Drosophila melanogaster: one gene and its partners. The protein of the gene in region 4 interacts with the protein of the main gene of each other region in a pairwise test. Each region holds a gene or a part of one and is shown on either strand. Other genes may lie near its edges. The genes, in order: Ama, Ets97D, trn and TwdlJ.

Region 1 (5,080 bases), about 20 Mb from region 4:
CAATGAACAACTTACATTCGGGTTCACTTTTCGCCACACAACCCACTCCGCATTTTGACCATGTGAGTGTTTACGTCAAGAGGTGAACAACTGACTGCCATTTTTTAACCATGATTGAAGAGTTAAACGCTGTGGCACTTTGAGCGGGCTCGGTTAACTTTTTGGCAAATGACTTCGGCAGCGTTAACCGTTGGAATACCAGCTCAGAATGGAGGTTACATGCTGTTTTTGGTGTCAAGGTGGGACCTTGCGGACTCAGATGGCAGCTTTAAGGAAGAAGATCTTGAAAGATCTGTTATTTAGGGTTTGGAAAGTGGCATCCAAAAAAGTTAATGGATTTTTAAAAGATTTGGATGTTCTAGCCATCATTCTAACGAAACTGTGGCTTTTAAAGTGTAAAGTTTGAATTGTTTATTGTTATAAATTAATAAGATCCATGGAGCATTGGGTGTTGTTTAGAAGTGATTAATTTTTCATTTATATCTGCACTTACCATATATTTTTAGATTCCCTCTCGATAAAACAATGAAATACTTTTGACAATGCCTTGTCTCCTGGCTTAGTTTTATTGAATGACAAACCCTTTAATTCGTTGCTTCAAGAGGTGTTTATTCTCTCATGGTATTTAACTTACACCGTATACAAGCCAACCCAACCACATAGGAAAAGACCGATTAAACTTTATCAGAGAACGTTATTTACTTAAGCATATTAATGTGTGTTTGCACAAGCCGACGGATGCAGAGCAAAATTCATAAGGCACAAGCGGTGGCTCGATCTCAAGTGTGTCCGAAAATAATGAAGTCTGAATGGGAGCTAATTGAATGAATCATTAATAATATAAACACAGACCGCATCCGGACTGGCGAATTGCCGAAAAAGCGAGACGAGAGGAGAAAGTGAGGGTTCCAGTCTTGTTGCGTGGGAATGGAAATCAGACGTTGAGGGCTTATTACGACAAGGAGGGCACTGGGATGACGGTCTGGAAGAGATGCAGTCGCGCATCGGCGTGTCCCAGCTTATTGGTGGCATTGCAGTAGTAGTCCCCAAAGTCCTCCTCGCCCACGCTATCGATGCGCAGCACAGAGGTTGTGGTTCCCGAGGAGGAGGCGGTGTTGGCCACCTCGTGGTGCCGGCTAGACTGCAGGGGCACGCCATTCTTGTGCCAAACTACAGTCGGAGCCGGGTAGCCCTGCACGGAGCACTCCAGCTCCGCGGAATGGGACACCATTTGGGCGATCTTGGGCCTCTGGACGGCAATCTGCGGACGGAACTCCACTTCGACCCGGATCAACCTCTTGTCCGGCTGGCCCTCTCCGTTCTGCGCGATGCAGTAGTAGCCGCCGCGATCCATCCGGTGCACGGAACGAATCCGGAGAGTTGGTTCGGCCAGCAAATGGCCACCGGCAGGCATCACTGCATTATGCTCGCGGGCCCAGGAGATCGTAGGCTTGGGAAAGCCATTGGCATGGCAGGTCAGCTCCAGATTCTGTCCCTCTGTCACCAGGGTGCTCTTGGGGGTGTTCTCCGCAATCACCGGCGGGGTCTTGATCTGCAGGCTCAGCTTCTTGGTCACCTTCTCCGTGGCCGAAACAAGCACCTGACACTCGTACGGACCCATGTCACTGACTTCGATGTTCTGAATGCGGAAGGTGTAAATGGCACTTCCGGTCTTGGGTCCTTCGGTGACCGTTACGTTGTACCGCTGGTCGGGCAGACTGAGGATATTCCGCATGGAGAGCACCACCGAGTTGGTGTCCGACTCGCTGGGACGCTTGGCCCAGCTCACCGAGAGCTGTCCCACCTCCTCCACGGTGCAGTTGAACTCCACAGAGTCGCCCACACTGGCCACCACGTCCTTGCTGATCTGGCTGATCACTGGGGCACTAAGCACCGAATCCAAGCTGATCGCAAGGCAGAATATAAGACCGATTAGAAGCCGCAGACGCGCCATGTCTGGTCTGTAAGAAATCAAAATAGATTTGAGATTTATTAGTGTATCACTTTATGTTGAGTCTTTTGATCGCGTTAGCCATTCTAAATATTTCGTATGTAATGGAGAACTGCCATTTTTAACCCATCTTCGAATTCAATATAATAAACTAAAACTAGGTTCAATTATAGAATAATAATTTAAAGGTCACAAGTATATCTTTAAAAGTATCTTTCAAAAGTAAATAAGAAGGAAAGAATTCTGCACACACACTCGTTTTGAAACATTTATAAGGCTTGTACACACTTTTCAGCTTTATCGTCTTATTTTAATATAATTCATACATTTCTGTTTATTTACAGGATGTTGCTGTTGATTTTGTGACTCTTTTTCCTCGACTATCTCTCAGTTCAATGTGGGTTCAATGCGCTTCACTTCGCGTTCGGGACTCGACTGAATTGAAAGAGGCGACCGAGCTCGGCTCAAAAATCCGTATCTCTGCTGAGGTTCTGAGAATCGGGTTCTTATTTTTGTATTCTTCCTGACGCGCCGACGTCGATGGCTCGGTTTCTCAAGGAAAGTCCCGAAATTTGTACACCGCGAGAATGAAGCAGATAGACACCATTATGATTGATTACCGCGGCTGTGTCTAGACAACGTTGCTTCTTAATGGATACACTGGTAAAAACGGAGATAACTTAGTTTTCCGATATATCAATACTTATTTTTTTTTTTAATGAATAGCCAGGTAAACGAAATCAATTTGATTTAAAATTAATTTTTTTGTAGTTAAGGATGTGAAAAAAGATTTTAAATGGCAGTGTTTAGTAAATAGTTTAAAATTTAGTAAAAAAAATAGTTTACCTTTTATTATATTGCATATTTTTTAATAATTAGTAACAGCTTTTTTCAGTGTATTTGCCGATGAAGAAGTCATCGACGTTTTGGATCTTATCACCCCTCGGTTATGTACATTGTCGCCTTCACAGTATTTGTATCTGTGTTTGTTCAGTATCTCTATCTGTATTTTGTATCTGTGTTTGCATTTTAGTTCGTATTTAAATTGTTTACTTGTGCGTGAGTTTGACTTCGGGCTCAGTTATCAATGCACTTTCCTTCTGGTCTTTAATTGATTTGTTTTGCTGCTCGCTGCTGTTGTTTATGCCTCTGCCTGTGGCCCTCCTGCCCCGCCCACTTGACAGCCCCCGCCCCAAGATAAGCGGTCAGTTGCAAAAACAAAGCGCCAGCGAAAGCGGCCGCAGGCGAACTGAGAGACCGCGTGCGAAATTCAAATTCAAATTCGTGCCGCCATTTGGCCATAAACGTTTCGGGGTTCGTGGAAGGACAATAAAAGGAGCAGCGGCGGGGTGGGAAAGTTGGAACTCTACCCATTTGTGTGATTTATGGCATGGCGCACTACTTTCCGCTGGCGGCTAACAACAACAGCAACGATTACGAGCGGTCCCTGGAATATCCTAGCCGCTCTGGAAATGCCAGCGATCCCAGCGCCGTCTCATTAGTGCTGTCTCTTTTGCGCCGGAGCAGGGGCGCATGCGCGAAAAGGCAAAAACAACGGGGTGGTGTACAAGGCATTGGGTGGAACTTGAATCGAGTCCTGGTTCAGCCATGCTGGGAAATTCTGAAGGATATTTAAAGAGCAGTATTCGGGAAATTTGGGTACCTTTAACTTGGCTGTTCGTAGAAATTTCTTTACACGGCTGAAGGTTAATATGTGTACTCACAGCATACGAGGATAGGAAACGTCGAAATATAACATAGTCTATATTGATTATATTTGTGTATATATATTGATGTGTTTAATATGTGTCTGGATCTCGATCAATTAGTTCCTATGGCAGATGATTTAAGGATTAAATGTGGTCAAAGGCCGTTTGATGTGCAAAATTTCACTTGTTGTATAAGCACCGAACCATTCGAAAACTTTCTGCTGCCCAAACGCATTTAATTTTCATATTTCCAGCCTGATTCCTGATCAGCCCCGGGCCAAGTTTCCCCCTAAAACCCATCGAGGTTAACCCGGCTTTACTCTGCGAGATGATTGATGACGACGCTGTCTGTCTGGCGAAGAAATTCCCCCGAAGAGCGACGAAACTATGGCCACAGTTTCTGGAAAATTAAATCACATCTTAAATCGTTTCGGTGACTTCTGCTGAAATGAGGCCGTTCCCATGGGAGGACAACTGCATCTGTCGTCCGAACTTGGACCCCCGCACTCTCACTCGTACTGCCCATCTGCCGGAATCCTCGTCGCTGAGTGCACATTCGAATCAGATAATTGTAAATTGTGTAAAATAATAAATTTCCAGTTAACTATCAACGGACCGCATAGGGCGCTTCTATTCCGTCCCTTTCTCGCTGCCCACTGACGGCTCTCCTTGTCCTCAGCTGCATCCCGGCAGCGTCATTATGACCATTGCGGCGATGCCTCTTGGATGCAGGTTCAGGTCCTGGTCCAGGTCCTGGCAGGTCCGGCTGCTTCATGCAACGCTCGACTTGGCCCGACCGAACTGGACACACACCGAAACCGAACGAAAGAGACGGCTAGACGGCGTGCGACAGAGAGGGCTGCCGCTCGCATTCAGGCGCAAGCGGATCCAAAACAGAAAATGTCAAATTTTGTAATTTATTACCCGAATCCTGTTTCTGTCAGTGACTCTTTGGGTGTTTCGCTTCAGCAGCGGCACACACGGGGGCATTCAGCATTCAGGGTCGCCGAGCGGGGAAGGGAGAAGTCCTTTGTCACACACTGCGTCTGAATTTGTGGCCCAGTTCCGCACAGTGGTATCTAGCAGATACTTTTTGTAATATTTGTAAGAATGCACAGAACTTCGTTACATTCAGAGATTTCTAGTTTCTAGTCAGATGACTAAATACAATATTATGTGTCAAAGTAATTAATTTTGTTTTTGAATAAATTTCTAAAATATCAGCTTGCCTTTAACGTAAATATAGCCTTTTCTACCTATCTTTATCTGATATAAAAAAGTAGCATTTGAAATGCTGTTGTTGCAATGGTATCGAATTGGTATTAAAGCTCTGGCCCTGTTTAATTTGTATTTGTAGTCAGAGCAACCACTGTACCTTTGTGTGTATCCTTGGGCTTTGCCTATGCGAACGTATTTTGTT
Region 2 (4,171 bases), 280 kb from region 4:
GTGGGCGAACTGATGGCCGGCGATCGGAGCAGCAGTGCCTCGGCGCAGCAGAAGCTACACCTGTTTGGCTCGCTGATCAGCCTGCACGAGTTCGAGGAGCCGCGGGCTTCGGATCCTTTCGGCAGCAGTTTCAACACGCTGAAGAGCGGCAATCTCATCTCTGATCTCAACGCCAGCTCGCTGTGGCTGGAGGACGAGTTCTACAAGCTGGGCTTTCGACCGCAGGACGAGATCACCACGGAGCTGTAACCGCATCACAAAACTCATACTCAAAACTTAATGCAAACTAAGTATTACCCCGGCTGGCGGCGCTAGCCGTTCGAGTCTAGCGCCAGTTCAGCTGGGGGAATGGAGCATTTGCGTGCACATTCCGACAGGCCATCATCGACTTCGACAAGCTAACTGGGAGGCCGTTTAGCCGGAGCCGCTAAATGCCCACGCTTAGAGCTTAGTTAGATCAGTTAAGCAAGCAAACTAGTCACGTAAAATCACAAACAAAACCATCAACACACAACGATGCCGAGGAGAAGGAGCTAATGCAAATGCAAATGGAAATCGCGTGGAAATGAATTTAGTTTTATGGATTTTACAAAAATCGCAACAATCATGTAACGAACAATATTCAATATACACACTATAGAAATACTATTCAGATAATAACTAAGATGATTAGCAGTATAAACGCGATACTTATAGCTATAGCTTATGTAGACAGAGATTATAAACCTTAGCGAATACGAAATGGATAATAAAATCGTGTGCCTTAGGATTGTAAAATATGTAACAATTTGTATTATTAACCAGGCGCCGTCATCCGACCAAGTCAGCCAACGCTAAGGCTCCTCGTACTTCCAGAGTATGTCGGGTTCCTCCTTGAGCTTCAGCTCGCCATGTCACGTGTCTTCTGTAATTGTTTCCGTTGCGGCTACGCGCTCGGGCGCCGTTTTCCCCTCGCTGACCAGCGTGGATAGCTCATTCGCATCATAGCCGATCAATAGCTTCAAATCGCAGTCAAATTTGTATGCGAATCGCTTGCCGGACACCTTGGAGATCATATCCCCATCGTAATAGTAGCGGAGAGCCCTTGATAGCTTTTCGTAGTTCATAGCGGGTTTGTTTTTCTTCTCGCCCCAAAGGCGTGCCACTCGATCCGGGTCAGTGAGCTTAAATTCTCCCTCGGTGCCCACCCACTCAATAACGTCCGTGTGCTCGCAGTCGGTGAGTATTTCGAGTAGGAACTGCCATAGCTGCACTTGTCCATTATTCCCGGAACCGATGGTAGTGTAGTTTGATGGATTCATGGATGACGTAGTACTTTCAACGGCTGTGAACGAAGTAGATATTGTTAGCTCATGCTTTGGTGTAACATTCACACGTCTACTTACAATCAGAGCTCTTGACTGACTGATAGGATTTCCGCATAATCCGCTGTTCAAGCGAAAGGCTGCCCCCTGAATTGGTCGATATGGAATTGGCCGACATGATTCTTGGTTGCTTGGGCTTACGCTGCTCCTCCGCTCGTTTGTGCACTACGGACACGAAATTACATTCTTTTAGCAGCTGGAGGTGGGTCCAGAAGATGTTGCCTGGATCACGGGGCAGCTTCTGATTGAATTCCTCGTGCGTCATTGCGCAGAGTTCCTGGCCATTCATTTGCCAGTCGCTCATGTTGATGCCAACTAGTTCGAACTGCTTGACGGCCCACTCCAGCCAGTACGTCACGTGTGCGTGTGTCCATTCGTTGGCCGCCTCGGGTATCTTCAGGCGTATTTGTTCTCGCTTAAACTTGCTGTCCAGGACCCAATTCAAGACTGGCTTGACATCCTTGCCCTCGACGGATTCCTCTTCGGAGTCTTCCTTGTGCATGCGCTTGAGTGGGGTTTTGATGGGGCTTTCGCTGGAGGAACTCTTCTGGCTGGCCGTTTCCGGCGGCGAGAGCTGGCCCACCACCTCCTCGGCCAAGGCAGCCAGTGCGGCCTCCGTGGGCTTCAGGACGTCGGCGATGTTAATGCGCTTGCGAATAGTTTGTATCTGCACGTTGATCTGGACCAGGCCTTCTCCCTTGACGCATTGGTCCACGAGATTCTTGTGCGATTCCAGCTGCAGGAGAGTGGGGGCTTAGGTAAACATTTTATTACGCCGCAGATAGACTCACCTCCTGCGCGTCCTGCAGCCAAAACGTGTAGTAATTCAGGCACACTCCTATCTTTTGCTCAACAAGTGATCTGTGGGTAGAAATGAGGGTTATTTGCATGACTAATGGGGGCCAGTCTTCGCCAGACTCACTTGAGCATGCTGAGCGGCTCCCGGATGTCCATGTGCACGATGATGATGTCGTCCGGCTCCGCCTCCGTCTCCACATCGATGCTATCCTCGAACATTTCGCTGGCAATCACTTCTTCTGCAAATTGTTTACAATTAATAATTCGGTGTAACAACAGGTGCGTCCCAATTGGGAAATGGCATCATTCCACTTACCCAGGGCACCGCCAACGCTGAGGCGGCGTATTAGCTCGTCCGACAAGTCATTGCTGCTGTTCATCGCGGCTTAAAATCGCAAATAACTGCCTATATTAACAAAATGTTTTTAACAAATTTGTCTCGTGGATTTATTGTTGCATCTTCAGTGTGACCGTGTACGTCGGGTGTGGCAATACCGAATAATACTAAGTGGCGTTGGTACAGGGCTGCATAGTCACTGGCCAGTATTGCCACCAATTCTATCAGATTTCAAAACTCTGGCGGTTCTTTTAAAAGTGATAAAAGTTTCGAAAAAATGTAAATATGAATGTAAGTTAGCAAGTCTGAAATACAATATTTGCTTTAATGATGAAAAAACTTAATAGCATCATATATATTTAAAGAAAAACATCAATTGTTATTTAGTTTTAAAAGAATACATGATTTTGTTATAGTTTTTACTGGCAAATATTTTGCCAGTTTTGAACTATTTTCAAGTTCCCTTTTCCTGTGTGGAAATTCATTGATCAAAAATTTCTTTCATCACCAGCTATTAATATTTTGAGCCTAACGATCTATAAAAATTAGCAATCTGGTGACAAAATGTGTGCTCGCCCCCTCAAGTGATTTCCTAGAAATGCCATCGAAATTAATTGAGGAATTCAATTCGCAACAACAAGTCGATGCTTAAGACACCCACTTGTGGTTGAGTGGTTTGCTCTTCATGCGATATCTTTTCGCCACTTTCTTTCGCTGCAAGACTCAATTGGCCGACACAATTGGCCATGTTTGTGCGTCGGCCTGACTAGGAAGCACTTGGGTGTTCCCACAGGCAAGTGAAGTGGCCAAGTGCTGCTCATTTTCAGCTAATGCTGATTAAATGCCCCGTAACACGATCAGTGGGTCAAAACGGCGGGACAATGAATGCCAATTGTGCTATGGAGCAGAGGACAGCCTCAAGTGCACAGAGTACTTGTTAACACAAGCGTTTTTCCATGTACCATGTACCGAGATATGGACAAAGACGGCTCCCGGCCTGAATAGTCCGGAGTTGGGAGCATTACCTCATGCTGTTGACTCAGTTGGCATAGTAGATGAACGATATTTGCTTGCGAATATCTTGCTGATGACAATGTTTGATTTTGATTTCGGTATTAGCTATAAGTGATTCAATGTCTGCCACGAATGTTCTGGCACATCATCATCCCCATATTGTGCAACCTTGCAACTTCATTTTCCCCTTTCCGTTTCGTGTCCGAAAACGAGGGAAACTAACAAGCCAGAGTGCGGATTTTGTTTTATTTGGGGACTAACTCTGCTTTGTTTACTTGCCAAGCTGTTGACTAATATTAGCCAGCTGGTCAAATTCAGGCGCTTCAGGTCAGTTTTTTTTTTGGTTTCATTTTGCGTACTTTCCAGCCATTTGAAGTTGAGTCATTGTCAAAGTCGTCTCATTTGGATATTATTAGATGTGAGTGGTAGTGAAATTTCTATCTTTCTTTCTCACCACACAAACCCTTATTACTCATTATATGCTAATGAGGACTTATCTCATTGCACGTTAAGTATACGCCGCATTGACCTTCTGGCAGATAGAAATCTATGCAGACCGAAAATTGTCTAGGTCATGACACCCAGCTGCAATGGGGCAACAAACAGATGAACGAAACCAGCCCAATGACAACGTGGAAAACTCACTCAAAACCGTTAG
Region 3 (6,104 bases), on a different chromosome or scaffold from region 4:
GTTCCCAGGGGCAAACTTCGACGGTGAGTTGGCAACTTTCTGGTCCGCCAGGTGGCAGCTGCATTGCAGGTGACAATGAAGGGGTGGCTGTACCCATATATACACTTATACATATATATTTGTATATGGTAGTAGTTACACATGTGTTTCCATGCACATTGAATTGAAAATTATACCTCTTCCCCACTTGCCACGCTCTGCTTGAGTCGGGTCTGCAAAAGTTTTCAAGCTTGTTACTATTGAATAATAGTATATTAATTTTACTGCATTTTTTATTCCCCCGAGCACGGTATGCAAGCCCTCAACTTACTTTTAATTGAATTGAAAGTCAAAAGTTTTGAGCTCGTGGAAAAAAAAGTGAAAATGTCGAGACAAATTGACACAGAGGAAAAGTTGCCGGTGCACAGGGAAAATGTATAATTAAAGGCAAATTTCCACGGCAGTATGCTGGCTGAAAGGAAAATCTGCTAAATTAAGAGCAGAATGAACACACACAGTTGTATTTTTTAGTTTTCAAATGAGTTTTGTTTTCATTGCGTATATTTTCTGTTTTCGTTTGATATTTTGTTTTGTCGCTTAAATTTGCATAAATTTCTTGTTCTAACTAATACATAAATAGTTGTTTGCATCTGATACGATTTTGCATTTAACAATAAATTAAATAAGTTAAAATTAAGCTTACGTTGACTCTCAGTGCTTGTTGTCTTTATCTAAACTCGTATATCATTTACAATTCATCTTAAAGACTACGATTAACTTATGTTCGGAGGGGGACGAGGAAAACAGTAGTGTTGGCAAAGTGCTGATAGAATTGGAGATCCTTCAGTGTTCTATAGGTTCGAAAGAGTGCTTTAAAGTTAAGTATGTACAAGGCAAGATTTTCTCTGACTTAATGCCTAGGTTGTATTTCGATTACAGCTACTACAATGTTTTCCTTACGCCTAACTACACGCTAATTGTGTCTGGAGGGGAGTGAGTGGTTTTAGTGGGCTTCTTGGGGGTTTTGGCATCACAGTGTTGGGCAGCGGACTACTAAGCATAGATGCTCAGCTGCCTGCGTCGATAGGTCGAGGATCAGTGCGTGAACTGACGCAGGGTGTTGTTGTTCTGCTGCTGCTTCTGAGAGGCGGACTTCTGCTGGAAGGATCTGCGTCCTGTGGTGGCACACAGTCCATTCCGCAGGGGCAAAGCTGGTGGCATCGGTGGCGGCGTGGGCGTCTTGCTGCGACCCAGTTGCTCCAACGGCATCGAGTAGTGGGTATTGCTGTAGATGTAGTTGTGGTCCAGGATCTCGCTGCCCATCTCCTGATCGTATAGCTCACGCTGCTTGAAGTGCTCTTGGGTCAGTCGCAGTTGCGGCTGATTCGGTCCACCCAACGGGGCGCCATGCACCATGGGCACATCCGCGTATGAGTAGCAGGAATCACCAACTGTAGCCGTGGCCGAGAGGAACTGCGGCTTGGTATAGTGGTTCAGCTGGGGATTCTGCTGATGCACATCCCGACCCATGGTGGCCGACTTCATGTGCAGCACAAATGAGGCACTGTCGTCGATGGCTCCCTGTGAAACCAGGGCCTTGTTGTTATTCAGCTTCTTCTCACTGATCATTGTGGCGGTGGGCACTACCAACTGTTGGAACTTCTGCTGGGGATCGATGGCGCCCAGGTCATTGACAGGCATCGGGCACATTCCATAGTGATGGGTAGCTCCGGGATGATGAGGTGCGGTATAGGTGTTGGGGAACGTGGAGTGGATGCCCAGGGAGCAGGGATGATGCTGATGGCGCGACATGTAGTCCTCGTCGCAGAAGGTCTTCTGGTATTCCCGTTCCTTACGGCCCAGAGCCGAGTTACCCCACAGACCGCCCTTGATGGTTTCGCGGATCTTATGACGGCAGCGGTACAGAACCAAAGCCAAGGCGGTAATCGTGGCAGCAGATCCCACCAGGAGAGCTCCAATCAAGGCCTGCTTGCGAGGATCGGCATGTGTGCATCCCATCATAGCAGGATTCAAATGGCGCAAGGATTCACCGCGCAGACGTTCGGGGAACTCACACAGCAGTTCGGAGACATCATCCTGACTGGCATTCTTGGCCACCAGCAGATTGTGCAGCCACATCACACGGCAGTCGCAGGACAAGGGATTTTCGGAAAGGTCCAGAGTCTGAAGATCCTTCCACGGGAACAGACCTTCTGCCAAGGAAGTCAGCGCATTGGCCTTGAGAACAACATGCTTCAATTGGGACAGCCCACTGAGGGCACCTTCTTGAACCTCCAAAAGCATTTTGTTGGACGATAGATTCAGATACTCCAGGTTACCATTGTCGCTGAAGGCTCCGGTCATCACACGCTTCAGCCTAAGAGCTCCATTCACCTCCAGGCGTTTAAGTTGCTTCAGGCCCATGAATGCGCCTTCGCTGATCACCTCGAAATCGTTTTGACCCAGGGACAGCTGCTCCAGACGAACCAGCTTGCTGAGACCCACGGAGGGAATGCGATCCAGACGATTATCGGAAAGATCAAGAATGCGCAACTCCTGCAAGCCGAGGAAGCTGTCGTGGGAGATGTTGCGTAGACTGGCACCCTTGAGTTCCAGGCGAGTAAGTCCTTTCAGGTCCTGGAAGGCATCAGCCTGAATGCTCTGCAGGGTGTTCATTCCAAGGAACAGCTCAGCCAGACTGGGCATGGCTTGGAAGATCACGGGATCGGGAACGGTGGTCAAGGCATTATCATCCAGATAAAGGATGCGCAACTGGGAGAGTCCATCGAAAGCCTTGGGATCCAGATAGCCGATGCGATTCTCGCCCAGATTCAGCTCCTCGATCTTCAGGAGAGGAGTAAAGGTGCCCTGGTGAAGTTCCGAGATTTGGTTACCACGCAGATTCAGAACAGTAACTGCCGACAGACCAATGAAGGTCTTATTGCTGATCTGCCCAATCTTGTTGTGATTCAGATGCACCTCCTGCAGCTTCTTCTGATAGGCGAAGGTGCGCTGCGGAATGGTCATCAGGTGATTCGAGGACAGATCGAGGAAGGTCAGCTCCGCGTAGAACTGGATGGACGAGTCGATGGTCTTGATCTTGTTGCTCTTAATCACCAGTCGCTGGATGGATGGATTCAGAGCAATGGGCAGCACGTCCAGCTGGCCCTCGCCACATTGTACCACCAGGGTATTATCATCGCACTGACAGCCGGGCGGGCAATTGGCCAAGCCCGCCGCAGGCTCCACACCAATGCTGGCCAAAATGCACCAGATGCCCACGAAGGCGATCATCATGTTTCGCTGCATCTTGGGATCTCTGATTCTCTTTTGATTTCTGTCTTTCGGTTTGCTTCGCTCTGTGCTGCTGTTTCAATTCTTTCAGAGTTTCTGTTGATTTTTTCAGTTTTCCATAGTGCTGCGGGTAGACAAACGAGGGAAAAATTTTCAAAATTAGTTTCTGTCTTTTCTGTGAGTTCGGTTAATTAGCCTATTTTCGTGGAACTATTTCTATTGATTAAAATTTACAGGGTTCTTGAAGCAAACATTTTTATGTTTTCACAAGTATTTCATATTGGATATATTTTTAGATTTGGTGTTGGAAAAATCTATATTAAGTTGCTAATGTTTCGGTCCTAATAAATTCTCATTTTAGAAATTTCAAACTCAATAAATATTTAAAGTCAGTAATTTAACTGAACAAAATTAAAATGTTCCAATTATATTTTTCGTATTTTATATTTTCTGGCAGCCTAACTTTATTTTGTTGAAACTTTTCTTCCGGTATTCTAATTTCCACAATATTCCACTTTTTCAGCACTTTTATAAAATGCACATTGTATGCCACAAGTGAAACTTACCTAATGTTTTTCTTTGATGATTGCTTGGCAACAATTTTTAGTTTTCAGCAGATTAAATCGTTGGTGAACAGAACATAAAATGCAAAATGCAGTGTTTCGGTTTTTGTTTGTATTTTGTGATGTGTTTGCGTTTTCACTGTTTCACTTTTGGAAAAATATTTTGAATAGCCAATTTTTTGTTTTGTCACATTTGCTCAACTAAAACATGTGTGTTGTTCAAAATTAAAATTTTGGTTTGTTGTATTGCTTGTTTCGTTTTTTTTTTTTTTGTTTGCTGATTGTTTGTGAAACGTGCGCGATAATCCAATGGTTCGCTTTGACTGCACGCTTCAAGTTGTTGTTAGGCGTTCGACGGGTTTCCGTTTGAATTTACGTATTTCGTGTTACCAACTCTGGTAAGAGAGAGGAACTTGGTCGCAATTGGGTCTCTATAGCTGGCAGACAACCGCTCACGACGAGGCAACGAACTACACTGATTTTACGAAGTGCCTGCTGCACAAACGATACCTCGGCTGGCCACTTTTGCCGGGGTGGTTGAGCGGTACAGAGCGGTAACAGAGCCGTTTGAGCGGTATGAGATGGTGGTGGTGGTGGTGGTGGCTGGCAGCTGCATCGGACATGGGTAAAAAGAGCGGCGTGGCTGAGGCGAGACGGCCTTGCGAAGGCGAGTTCTCTCAGATAAACCCGCCAGCAGGTAGTCGGAACTGGTTGTGAGTGTCGGATACAAATGTATCTCTAGTTGTCTCTCTCGATGGAGAACTCAGTGTGGCGAGTTTCACTCGAAGTTTCCACTCATTTATCTGGCTATACGTGCCCCATATATCCAGGCTCGCTCTCCGACAATTGCAACTCACACGTTGAACGAGCCGCACGTCCTCGACGAAATGCTGTCGCCCATAAAACCTAAAACTAGAACTGAAATAGTCAACGAAAAAAGTAAAAAAAAAACAAAACTGAAGAGAAAACTAAAACAGCCCAAGTGCTGTGGCATAATTAAGACCCCATAAAAAGTACATAGTCCTACGCAGAATAGGAGCTAGATGGATATTTATGGGCCGCAGACATGTCCTGGCCTAAGTGGAGCCTTTTAGTGCGGTTTACAGTCCAAATGTGACGCACTTGAAATTGATATTTTTGTATCTGCGAGTTTGTATCTCGAGGACACGAAAGTGTTGCACTCGAGTATTTCTCAAAAAATATTGTGTCATCTGATACATTTGAGATGCATTTCTCATTCTTGGCATGCAGAGCAAACAACTATTTACAACTCGGCAAAATCACAAAAAAAAGAACGGGAAAAAAACAACTGTGACAACAAGAAAATCAACTTTAAATGGCCATAACTTTGTGCCAACATATGTTGCTGGATCAGAGGGGACCGGGGTGGGGCACATTTTCCGGGCCTTACGGCATGCGGTTTTCCTCCACATTTTCCACAGCCAAGCCCCCCTGCCCCACCGACATAACTGGCATATTTCCGTCTCCGAGAATTTCGCACACAAAATTTATTTATCGTACCGAGATGCAAATCTTTTTCGACTGCTTTTCTGTATCTTTCATAAACTAACCAATAAGTAAACTTGTTAAATTTATACCATATTACCCAAATTTGAGGCATCTTTGCGTATTGAAAGCCAAGGCAACTGTTAATAGTTGCTTGACCATAGGATTTTATGAATTTGATTTGTTGCCTTTGAGAGAAAATAAATACATATACATAATTTATGACAGAAGTAGTTTTGGAAAATTTTCGTTGCCAAGAGAGATAAATTTAGCCTTTAAACATGTATTTCAAAACTCGTCTTTACAATTTATTTAAAGTAAAAAAATTTGATTTGCCTAACTTTGTTGGCAAACATTTTTTTCGTTTCTACTCTTTTGCTGAACTGAAATCTAAATTAAATTGTTGGTTCAATTTCTACATTATTAAATGGGGTACACAACCTATTTTGAATAATAAACCAACTATTGGTTCTCATACTAAAACCTTACATTTGCTCTTTGATGAAACATTCATAAAATTGCAGGCCTTTAAAGATCTGTTTCAAGAAATTAAACAGTTTTGCTGACTTCTTAGAGAAAGGCTTTGGCGAAGTATAATAATAAACTTGAATACAAATGCAGGAAATGCAAACAAATTGCCATAACAGCGGCTTGTAAGAAAAGTATCTTTGGCTTGTAAACTGCCAAAGTGCTCTACATAGGTAAAGACTGCGTAGTTTCCTTTCAAAAACCAGATACGAAACACACAGTGATTGCTGCACA
Region 4 (3,226 bases):
ACCCTGAATGGCACTCTGGGCGTTGGCAGCATCCTCGGGAGTGCGGTACTTGACGAAGTGCACCTCGGGCTTGTTGTTGTTGTTGTTGCGGATGGAGTTCAGCTTGTTGGCCAGATCACCGATATCAGCCTGCTTGTTCAGGACATAGATGGCGGTCTCCTGCTGGGCAGCCTGCTTGGCCAGAGCCAGAGCGGCATCCTCCAGACCGCTGTTCTCGGGTCCCTTGATGAAGACCACGCGGAGTCCCTTGTTCACGGCGTTGGCAACACGGTCGGAAGCAGATGGGTCGTAGAAGTCACCCTCGTCGGCGGTGTAAGTGAAGAATTCCTTCTCGAGTTGGGCCTGAGGAGCAGCGTAGTTGGGAGCAGCAGCAGATTGAGATCCTTCCAGGGCATCAGCAATGGATGAGGGACCGGGGGCAAAGGATGCACTAGGAGCAGGCGCGAAAGCGGGTGCATCGCTGCTGGCCGATCCAGATGGCTGGAAGCTCAATCCGGAGGGAGAGTGGGCCACCGGTTGGTAATTGTAGCCAAGTTTATCGGCCGTGGCCAAGGCAATAAAGCAAAGGACGACGAAGGAACGCATGTTGACTGTTTGGATGGCAAAGATGATTGGTTACTGACTTATCGAGTCGAAATTTTGGCTTTTATAGGTGCAATATTCAGTTCTTCGGCTGCAGTATGGTGCGATATGAATTATGAACAGCTCAAATTTGCCTTAAAAATGCATAAATAAGAGATTAAAATGTTAAATTTATAATATAATTTTATGATTCGTCACACTGCTGCTGCGGTTGCAAATTTTTGCATGGCTTTGTTTTTACTGGCTCTGCGGAAAGCGGCATGCAAATTATGAGCTAACCAGAATTGGCCAGTGAGGAGGTTCATAGTCCGACTCGGATTGCCAAATCAGATGGCGCCAAGTAATTTATTAAGAGACCAATTATCGAATTATCTGATTTGGCGCTGACAAGGCGCAGTGGTGCAGTTTTTAATTGGCAACCGGCCTAGGCGATCAGAAACCATGTATATATATTAAGTAAAGATGGCTGCTATATTTAGCGATGAGTTCGATTCTTCACTTCCGGCGGATGGAAGGTCGCCTCCACCCGCAACATTAGCATAAAGCAGCTAAACACAGCGACCAAGACGACAAGACAAAGCCGCTGAATAAGGCAATAATAATTTGGCGAATCGTTAAAATATTTATTTTTGGCAGCGGTAACGCGACTAGGCGCGCCTCATTTGCATGTGAAACGGCCTGTCAAACGTTTTGTTTGCTCTCCGGCCGATTTAGGTGACACTTCTCATCCCGGGCGAACTGGGAATGGGTTTGGATTTGTGATACACATGTGATACATGAGTAACAAGGCATCCATCTAAATAGCCCCAAATGAGGTTTACGATGCTCTTGATGCTCTGTCCGCGGCTTTTTATAGCCAGATTTTATTGATTTCAACGATAAAGCTACATGAAAATACCAAAATGGCAAGGTTGGCCCACAACACTGGCCAAAAGCGGCGCCGAAGAATACGCGAATTATTGATTAAGGCAGCATATTGAATTTAATATGAATTTTATGGCGCCAGCTCCGGCTCATACATGGCCCGTACCTCTTCCTTCTGAGTTTCTACGTTGACCTCATGATGCAGCCACCCGCTTCGCTTGCATATTTTAGCGGGGTGGTACCGGTACTGCCTGATCTAGTTGGCTAAGACCGTAATTAGACCGCTTTATGCAGAGCGTTTTGCATAGCAGTGGCTTTCATCTGCATAAAAGCGAAAGAACCATCTCACACCATCATCAAATCCCACAACCACCTCACCCGCTCAACATGCGTCAGTTCTCCGTAGTTCTTTGCCTGTGCCTCGCCGTTTTGGCCAGAGCCGATAAACTCGGCTACAATTACCAACCGGTGGCCCACTCTCCCTCCGGATTGAGCTTCCAGCCATCTGGATCGGCCAGTAGCGATGCACCCGCTTTCGCGCCTGCACCCAGTGAATCCTTTGGCCCCGGTCCCTCATCCATTGCTGATGCCCTGGAAGGATCTCAATCCGCTGCTGCCCCCAACTACGCTGCTCCTCAGGCCCAACTCGAAAAGGAGTTCTTCACTTACACCGCCGACGAGGGTGACTTCTACGACCCAGCTGCCTCCGACCGTGTTGCCAACGCCGTGAACAAGGGACTCCGCGTGGTCTTCATCAAGGGACCCGAGAACCGCGGTCTGGAGGATGCCGCTCTGGCTCTGGCCAAGCAGGCTGCCCAGCAGGAGACCGCCATCTATGTCCTGAACAAGCAGGCTGACATTGGAGATCTGGCCAACAAGCTGAACTCCATCCGCAACAACAACAACAACAAGCCCGAGGTGCACTTCGTCAAGTACCGCACTCCCGAGGATGCTGCCAACGCCCAGAGTGCAATTCAGGGTCAGTACGATCAGTTGGGAGGATCTTCGCAAGCTCAAGATGGTGGAGTGGCATCCACCCTGAACTTCGCTTCCCAGCCCGCTCCTGTTCAGGCTGCCAGCAGCCAAGCGCCCGCCCAGTTCCTGCCCGCCTCCCAGCCCGAGGCTACTGCACCCATCTCCTCGTATGTGCCACCTGCCACCCCAGGTAGCTCCTACTTGCCCGCCAACATCCTGCGCCGCCTGCGTTTCTAAGTTCCTGGCATTTCCTTTGTTATTGTTGAGATTATAATACGAAATAAATTTGTTTAATAATATAAATTTTTAAGTTGTTGTTACTCTTTTTGAGAGCTATTGATATAAATGGTATAATCAGCTATTTTGAGGATTAAAAATACGTAATAAGATAGTCTGGATGCTCCTGAAATTCCCGACATTCTTGTGCTATTGTTTAGATTTGAAGACCTAATAAAATTGTTTTAAAATGTAAATTATTAGGTTGGCTTGCGGATCTTCGCGGCCAACATTCCTAGGCATATTATCAGCCAGAATTAAATTTCCGAGGCACAACATTTTCGCACTCGGCGGCTGGCAAACAAGTTCGACTTGCGTTGAATTATGAGTCCGTCCGGCTAAGCTGTTTGTGAAAATTGCAAATGAGCGGAAACCTAAGATGTTTTCTCTGGCATCGCTTTGAATAATCTGCTTCGTGTTAATCTGTATAATCTGGTGTATAACATATGGCTTATCGGCTACTTGGCTGCCCATGCCTACCTACGCACTTCGCGGTTCGAAATTGAGATGGCACTCGGTTTGACAAATT

What was found.
Region 1: the proteins of TwdlJ (region 4) and Ama interact in a two-hybrid assay, tested with the Drosophila melanogaster proteins (one large-scale study listed by BioGRID).
Region 2: the proteins of TwdlJ (region 4) and Ets97D interact in a two-hybrid assay, tested with the Drosophila melanogaster proteins (one large-scale study listed by BioGRID).
Region 3: the proteins of TwdlJ (region 4) and trn interact in a two-hybrid assay, tested with the Drosophila melanogaster proteins (one large-scale study listed by BioGRID).

The regions. Positions count from the first base shown.
Region 1 is NT_033777.3:6,760,714-6,765,793, reverse strand, and holds Ama (amalgam), read right to left. Parts: upstream 3,202-5,080; 5' UTR 2,815-3,201; coding exon 2,798-2,814; intron 2,615-2,797; exon of another isoform or gene 2,278-2,614; intron 1,962-2,277; coding exon 953-1,961; 3' UTR 533-952; downstream 1-532.
Region 2 is NT_033777.3:26,910,219-26,914,389, forward strand, and holds Ets97D (Ets at 97D), read right to left. Parts: upstream 2,669-4,171; 5' UTR 2,543-2,668; coding exon 2,479-2,542; intron 2,402-2,478; coding exon 2,287-2,401; intron 2,226-2,286; coding exon 2,156-2,225; intron 2,101-2,155; coding exon 1,386-2,100; intron 1,325-1,385; coding exon 894-1,324; coding exon of another isoform or gene 834-893; 3' UTR 557-833; downstream 1-556. Other genes in the region: T48 (transcript 48), read left to right, coding at 1-249.
Region 3 is NT_037436.4:13,112,482-13,118,585, reverse strand, and holds trn (tartan), read right to left. Parts: upstream 4,316-6,104; 5' UTR 3,840-4,315; intron 3,398-3,839; 5' UTR 3,289-3,397; coding exon 1,075-3,288; coding exon of another isoform or gene 1,033-1,074; 3' UTR 509-1,032; downstream 1-508.
Region 4 is NT_033777.3:26,628,123-26,631,348, forward strand, and holds TwdlJ (TweedleJ), read left to right. Parts: upstream 1-1,795; 5' UTR 1,796-1,833; coding exon 1,834-2,658; 3' UTR 2,659-2,703; downstream 2,704-3,226. Other genes in the region: TwdlK (TweedleK), read right to left, coding at 1-585.